Linked DNA regions of Rattus norvegicus. The protein of the gene in region 2 purifies or fractionates together with the protein of the main gene of each other region. This does not show direct contact. Links are inferred from orthologs where the notes say so. Each region holds a gene or a part of one and is shown on either strand. Other genes may lie near its edges. The genes, in order: Tnfrsf13b and Camlg.

What was found.
Region 1: the proteins of Camlg (region 2) and Tnfrsf13b purify together in Homo sapiens (affinity purification with western blotting; 3 studies listed by BioGRID and IntAct, with this or other methods). This does not show direct contact. The link is inferred for Rattus norvegicus from reciprocal best matches to the Homo sapiens genes CAMLG and TNFRSF13B.

The regions. Positions count from the first base shown.
Region 1 is NC_086028.1:46,299,826-46,303,740, reverse strand, and holds the start of Tnfrsf13b (tumor necrosis factor receptor superfamily member 13B), read right to left. Parts: upstream 2,406-3,915; 5' UTR 2,353-2,405; intron 1-2,352. UniProt on the Homo sapiens protein: Receptor for TNFSF13/APRIL and TNFSF13B/TALL1/BAFF/BLYS that binds both ligands with similar high affinity. Mediates calcineurin-dependent activation of NF-AT, as well as activation of NF-kappa-B and AP-1.
Region 2 is NC_086035.1:9,005,724-9,009,564, forward strand, and holds the start of Camlg (guided entry of tail-anchored proteins factor CAMLG), read right to left. Parts: upstream 2,986-3,841; 5' UTR 2,902-2,985; coding exon 2,736-2,901; intron 1,219-2,735; coding exon 755-1,218; intron 1-754. UniProt on the Homo sapiens protein: Required for the post-translational delivery of tail-anchored (TA) proteins to the endoplasmic reticulum.

The DNA.
Region 1 (3,915 bases), on a different chromosome or scaffold from region 2:
TGTAACCCGCTTTTTAAAAGTCAAGACAGCAGCTCGCCCCACACAGGAAGACCTGTCGTGTCTGCAAGGTGGTGCTCAGGCTCCTTAGCAGGACTGACTGTAAGGTCACTTCTTATCCTGTGCAAAGCAGGAGCTCATCAACTGGCGCTTCTCTTCCAAGCCCCAGACTGATGGATTCCTTACCCCTTAGTCCAGGCACCGAGGAAGGCAACTTTGAATTCGTGCACCTTTTAAAAACTGGACACAGGCTGGGAGGCGAGGGTGGCCCACGCCTTTCATCCCAGCACTTGGGAGGCAGAGGCAGGAGGAGCTCTGATTTCAAGGCTGGTCTGTCTACAGAGAGTTTCAGAACAGCCACGGCTACACAGAGAAACCTTGTCTTCTTGAAGAACCAAGCCAAGGAAACAAAAAGCAAAAATAAATCTGGACACAGGACACGTTTGGCTCCTACTGTAAATACCTTGAAAGAGGAAGGAAAGGCTCAGTTTTCGGTACCAGTCAGGTACCGGTGTGAGCGAGCTGGCCTGTACTGCTGTAGAACCAAACACTCAAGACAGTTTTAAGAACACAAGGCCCAAACCACAGCTTTTTGCTATGAATCCAAATACTTCTGGCTTTTTCTTTTTTTAAATAAAGCATTTTTCTATTTGAGTAAAATATAATTGTTATGTGAAATATATTAAGGTGGTTACTTTCATTTTAATGGATCATCATCATCATCGTCATCATCACCATCATCTCATTATCATTATCACCATCACCATCACCATCACCATCACCATCATCACCATCACCATCACCACCACCACCACCACCACCATCATCATCATCATCATCATCATCATCATCATCATGATGTTTTTGAAGCAGGCTCTCACTATGTAGCCCTGGCTTTTCTAAAACTCATTATGTAAACCAAGCTGGTCTCAAACTCCCAGGGATCTGCTTGCCTCTGCCTCACAAGTGCTAGAATTAAAGGTGTGCACCACTACACCTGGCCAGCACTTTTCTATTTTTAATTTCCTCTCTGTCCAGCAACCGTGTCCACCATGGTTCTATATTCCCATCTCTACCTGTCCCCATCTGCCTTCTTATTTTTCTTGGTGATTATTGCTGATAAAGCAGGGCTGCTTATCCTATAATGTGCCTGGGGTAATTTAGAGAGTTTCCTCCAAGGCAGAGAGGTTTTATTGTTAGCTTTTATTGTTAGGGAGAAAACTATGAACAGAAAGAATGTACGCCTATCTCACGATAGTACAAATATAATAAATATTTAAATAATTATTTTAAATTTTAAATTATTTGAAATATTAAAATTAGTCGAAGGATTCTTTTGTTGTTATTGTTTAGTTTTAACTTCCCAGAACTTTTGCTTGTGACTCTTCAAGAGAGTCTGAAGGGTTGAAAGCAGGTTTGTGGATTTGGGGTCCATTTTGTAGAAGAGACTTTTCCGAGATCAAGGGGCAGTGTACAAACTACGAACAAATGGTAACTTGATCTCTCCACCTGTCCCAGCTCTCCCGGCAGCACTAGGAAGCTGCTATGGAATCCGGTCCGTTCTGCCTGATTCCTAATTCCTGGTCCCAGGCCCTCTGACATTTCCTCTTGGGTCAAGGTGGCTCCTGATCACTGACTCTGCATTCTCTGTGAAACTTAATTGCATCCTTGGCAGACATGGTTGCTGGACAGAGATGGAAATCCTAGCGAAGGCCTGCCTGAGGCCAGCTTGGGTATGGGGAGAGGTGGAGCCGCTGTGAGCAAGGGTCCTGATGAGGAACCTCTCCGCCTTGGAGGGAACTCTCTAAATCACCCCAGGCACACTATAGGATAAGCGGCCCTGATTCATCAACGAAAATCAGCAAGAAAAACAAGAAGGCAGATTGGAACAGGTAGAGGTGGAAATACAGAACCCATTTTCTCCTGTGGGCCACGAAGGACTGATTTGAATCTGTCCACCGAGGACGCACACCGTCGGCACTTCTTGCTCAACACCTATGCTCGTTGGCGCTTTGTGATATTAAGAGTTCTTAGAAATTCACGACAGCTAAGTGAGGGCGGAGTTCTAAATGCTGACTCCCGAGGCATCTAAAATCTACCAGATTCACTTCAAAATAATCTGGGGGCACAAGGAGAAAGTCTGGAGCACATGGATAGAAAACAAAGGTTCTTGCCTGTTTGCCTGACCCCACTCCCCCTGGAAGGCAAGACCTGACCCCTGGAGGCTTCTCCGGTGTGCAGGACTGAGGCTGTCCGAAACCTGAGTAGCCTTATCTTGTGCCTGCGGTGGCACTGCTGGATCCCCAGCCCCCGGAGCACCCTCTTGGCCCTCACCCACCACGGCTGGCTACTCACCACGCTCCTGTGCCAACAGCGCCAGCCTCCTGCCTGCCCTGGCCCACACCACTCATTACTCAGGGCGTTTATTATTAGCCTGAGATTTTGTTAGGCCTAGGCCACACTTCCTGGGTTTTCCCCCTTCGACCTGGGGATGTAAATAAGCCGCCCTGTTGACCTGCGCCTGCGCCTGCGCCTTAGTCCAGGGAGTACAGGTGAGCGACCTGTCCCGTTAGCTTAGCAGTGGGGGCTTAGTCCGGTTGTGTTATGACAGGGCTTGGATAATTCTAGATCTTCCCTGCCCAACTCCTAGGCCTGGTTCCTATCCACTGTCCGCTCTCCAGGCTAGGATGCCCACACAGCTCTTGTGCTCCCTGCATAGCCTTCCCTCCTCTTGGACTATTACATTCTTTGTTTCTGCCTGGTCAGTTCATGCTGTCCCTTCTTCAATGCTCAGTTGAAGCGTCACCTCCCCCAGGAAGCCATCTGTGACTGCCCCCAGGACATTAGGTACCAGTGTTCTGTGCAGTCCCTGCAGATTTGGATCTTGCTTCTGGGTCCGATGCCTTGGTAAGGACTTAGGTATAAAGTGACTCGTACCTTCATGCCCTCATCTGGAAAGTGGGTCCTTGAGTCATTGTGAAAATGACACGAGTTCTCACAGTCACTTGATTGTTCTTTGTCTGGTTTTTAGTTCTCTTGGCACAGGTGTCACTAAGCTGGGCAAGGCTGGCTTGAACTCAAGATCTCCCTGCCTCAGACTCCAGAGTGTTGGGAGTTCAGGTGTGCTCCACACCTGGCCACCACAGGTTCATTCTTACAGCACGTTCTCAGTGCACAGTGACTCCTCCAATAAGGGACATGGGCGAATCAGTGCCACAGCCCTGATTACCCTGGGCTTCAACTCCATTTCCGTATACTCCCAGGTCTCGGAATCCTGCAGGGATAAGAAAGCCCAACAGTTGCCCTCCCAAGTTCATTGTAGTGCTGTTCACAGTAGCCCAGATACGAAGTCAATCTGCATGTGTTCAGTGGATGAGTAGATAAGGAAACTGTGGTGTGTGTAAACAATGGGATTCTCTTCATTCTCAATAGAGAGGGAACTCCTACATTTGTATGAATATGGATGGAACTGGAAAACTTTGTGTATAAAAAAGGAAGTTGGGCTGGGTGTGCTGGCACATGCCTTTAATCCCAGGATTTGAGAGACAGAAGCTGGCAGATCTCGGAGTTCTCTTGACTGACCTACAGCGCTAGTCCCAGGACAGCCTGGGCTACACAGAGAAATATTGCCTCAAACAACAAACAAAAGAAGAAGAGATCACAGTCCAGCAGGGATGAGCACAAAGGCTGCCCTTCAGAGGACCGAGGTTCAACTCCCGGCACCCACACGTGGCTCACAAACATCTGTAACTTGGGTTCCAGGGGACCCAATGCCCTCTTGTCCAAGGACCTCAGACATATGTATGATACACAGACACGTATTCAAGCAGGACACCATACGGATAAAAATTTAAAAATTGAAATCAATTGTTTAAATAGAAAGAAAAGGAGCTGATCATAGAAAAACAAAAGCCACAT
Region 2 (3,841 bases):
TTTGAAAAAAAGTTCTAGGGCTGGAGAGATGGCTCGGTGGTTAAGAGCACTAATTGCTCTTCCGGAGGTCCTGAGTTCAAATCCCAGAAACCACATGGTGGCTCACAACCATCTGTAATGGGATCTGATGCCCTCTTCTGGTGTGTCTGAAGATGGTGACAGTGTACTTATATATAATAAATAAATCTTTAAAAAGAAAAGTTCTAGCCAAGACACTGAATTATATAGACTGTGCCTTTCTGCACTCGTCTGTGTCCCACAATGCACTGTTGCTAGGATGCTACTACATTATGCATTGCAGAATCGATCTCTGAACGGTAGACTATTGCCTATACACAGGACCGCAAGAAGCACATTTCAACATCTCAAACCACTTGGGAAATCACTTGCTAATACACAGTACATATAGGCATCTGGACTTTCGGTTCTGGGACGAAACTGCCTGGGTTTCACCCCACCTGTCAGCGGCTGTTGTGACCTTGGGTAAGAGAATTCATCTGAGTTTTCGAGGGTTCAAACAACACATGGCTCCTAAAGATGGAGTTTAAGTGAATTAATATAAGACGAGCACATAAAGTGCTACAGACATTAGTTATTACTACGAATAGGCTCTCATTCTGTAACTGGGACAAATAACAGAACGTATAACACACGTTCAAGCAGCCGGATAGATCCGGTAATGCTGACAAGAAATCCCTAGCACGGCACCTTGACTTGCGTTTTCCTAGCTGATCGCTTGCAGCTCTTGGCTTACCAAATATTTGCAAACAAAAGCTCGGACAACAAGAGCAAGCAGGGCGCACCCCACCAGTCGAAATATTCGAAAAGAGTCAAACTCTTCCGTCGTCCGTCCATCTTCCTGGCTGGGCTTCTCGCTGATCAGCTGTTTGCGCAACTTCATTGCTTCTTCGAATCTGGAGAGGTACTGTTCTAGGCCGTGGTGAGAACCCCTCGGGGCCGAGTCTGCCGTCAGGTCACCTCTGTTCCGCTGCCGAAGCTCAACTCCATCCTTGCTACTGCACTCTGGTGCTTTAATGAATGAGTCCAGTTTGTCTCCCAGCTGGGCTCCCCTGATGTCGGCGCCACCACTGGGCTGGTAGTCAGTTACTCCTCCATCGACTGAATCGCCAAGCACTACCCTCTTGGAAACGGAAGGAACGCCGAGGGGATTCAGTATGTCACTGTCCAGTGGCTTTGACTTTGTTTGATTTTCTTCTTCTGAGGGAGGGAAAAAAAAAAAGAGCTCTGTGTATTACATACCCACGAACATCTTAAACGCTCCCACTGCTGCTAGAACTAGGTCTCTGAGTCAGGATAGAGACTGATGCAGAAAACAGAACTAGCTCTTTCGCCTACCACCTTCAAATAGGCCGCCACAAAAAGGCAGGCTGGCAGAGGGAAGTTCAAACGCTGAGGACAGAAACTACCACTTCTAAGTAAACAAGCAAATCAAGCACAGGCTGTCCCAAGAAATAAAGAACAATTCTTTCCCAGAAAAAAATACCCAGAGATATGCCTCAATTTCTCCCACTAGCTGATACTGATAAAAATACAAAATCATTAAAGTCTCTTAAGGTTTCTATTTTACAATTACATTTCTGAGTCGGGAGAGCTGTGAGCACAGGGTGTGGCGTGCCTATAACCACGGTGGCCATCCCCTGGGTAGCCATGAGCTGGCACTTTTAGGATGCTGTTCTAGTTTTTAAAGAGAGAACTCTAAAAGTGATAAAAATTTGCAGAGCAAAAGAACAGAATAGGAAAGGGACTCGAGAAACACCAATACTTTAAGACTATCTTCAGACTGATCACTACAAAAAATATTTCCTGTACTGTTTCAGATGATTCGAAAGTGGTACCCACACATCTCATTTCTATTGTCTAGAAGTTCAGAACTACATCTCTAACGCCTCATAGAAATACTTGAGTTCTACCACGCTTGCAAACAGTGACTAAAAAGCCAATTACTAAAGGAAACACCCAAACTGAAACTTAAAGAAGTCAAGCATAATTGTATTCAATTGTGTTCATAAGAAAACACGAGGTTGCATTGCATGAAAGATGAGTTTTCTTAGGGTAAATGCAGTTATTAAAATGTGATGTACCTCTGCTAATGAAAGGAAATCTCAGCGGGGGCATCACAACTTTCGGGAAGGTCTATAAAGAATGCTCGCACATATGTATTCCCTCTCCTCGAAGACCTGTAACAATGTTGAAGGCACCGAGCACAGCCACCAAGATAGGACCATAGGGTCTCTGATCCACAATGGACGGACCAGCCAATAATTGAGTAACGACTGATGTGGTGGACGAGAGTTACAAAGCAAAAGGCAAAAGCTAGGTCAGGGGATTAACTGGAAGGAAAAGCATTTGGAGCGGATATGAAAATCTCCCTGGGGGCGCAATGGAATGAGAATGGGGATAAAATGCGCAGCCTTCAAGAAAGGCGAGTAATCAGGAATATAGGTGCTGTCTCAGATAACCGTACACACAGATTCCGGAACGAAGGCTTTGTGGCCAGGGTGGAGACAATCTCAGGGCGAGGATCCAAGAAAATTGGAAGCAACAAGGAACATCCTGGGGCTAAGCGACAATATAATATGGGTCGTCACCTAGGGGGCGGGGACAGAGTTGGGTCAGAGTGCATTTTGGGGTCAAATGGATTGGAAGTTGAGGGGACGGAAGGATCTTGAATTTTCAAAGAGGTAGGCGGGAGACGGGGAAACCGAAGCTCTCACCCGCGCCGCTCCCGGGCCTGTGAAAGCCCATGATCCGGTTGATGCGTTGCTCGGAGTTCATGAGCAGCTTCCTCCTCCGCAGCTCTGCTCGACGCTGAGAAGCCGACAGGCCCGAGGGCGTCGCGGACCTGTCCCCGCCGTCGGTGGCCGAAGGCATCGGCTCCATGCTTTCTCTACTGCCTGGTTCAGGGTGACAGTAAAGGCGAGGATGACTTCAGGCAGGGCCTCAGAGTTCGGTCCCACTCCCACTGTAGTCCCGCCCCTAGAAGGCGGGGACTGAGGAGTGAGCATGCGCCGAAGGCCTGCACGAGGCTCTGCCGCCATGTTCAGTGAGGGCAGGCCAGGTTTAAGGGTTCTCCCTTCCAAGTTGGCTCGCAGTGCTGAGGTTTTTCACCACCAGGTTTACCTCTCAGCTGCTCTCGAAGGTGAAGAGACCACACCCTCCTGATGGGTGAAATGCCAGTGAGGAATAGGTCCATTTTATTCTCTGCCAGGAAGCAAAATGGAGGTTGCAGCGGCAGGAGCTTTTTACCAGTCAACGTCTCTTTGCTCCTGGGATACGTAATTGCGGGTGCGACGCTTTCAGGGAGCATGGCCCTGGGATTTGGTGGCGGTGGTGATTCTAGTTCTTTACAGCACTCCGCCAGATTTCCCTAGTCTCTTCTGTACCCCTGTCGTCTAAATTGCCAACACTCCCTACTTCCCTTCTCCCTACTCTTGCAACCCTGTTGCGTGCTTAAATCTCCGTGTAGAGGACTTTGTATTCTATATTAGAAAAGAGCCTGAAGTATGCACCAGTAGTTTGTTCTAAGTTGCTCTGCATAGGTATATTGTTAATAGCTCGTTCGTTCTGAGTTCGCTCTCCAGTTCAGGTGCTGAAGAGTGCAGACTTAAAACCGTTCAATACTAGCCAGATTTGTATTCGGGGAAATGCAAACTTTGAGCAGTTAAAATTAACTGTTTCATTCCCTGTGAAACTGCCCTTTTGACATGGAGTGTTAAATCGTTTTTCCAAGGAGTATAACCTTGTTCTCAGATCTCTGACCCTTTGAATAAACCGCATCTCACTACCAAGTGCCCTCTGTTTTCTCCTGTGTGAAGACAGC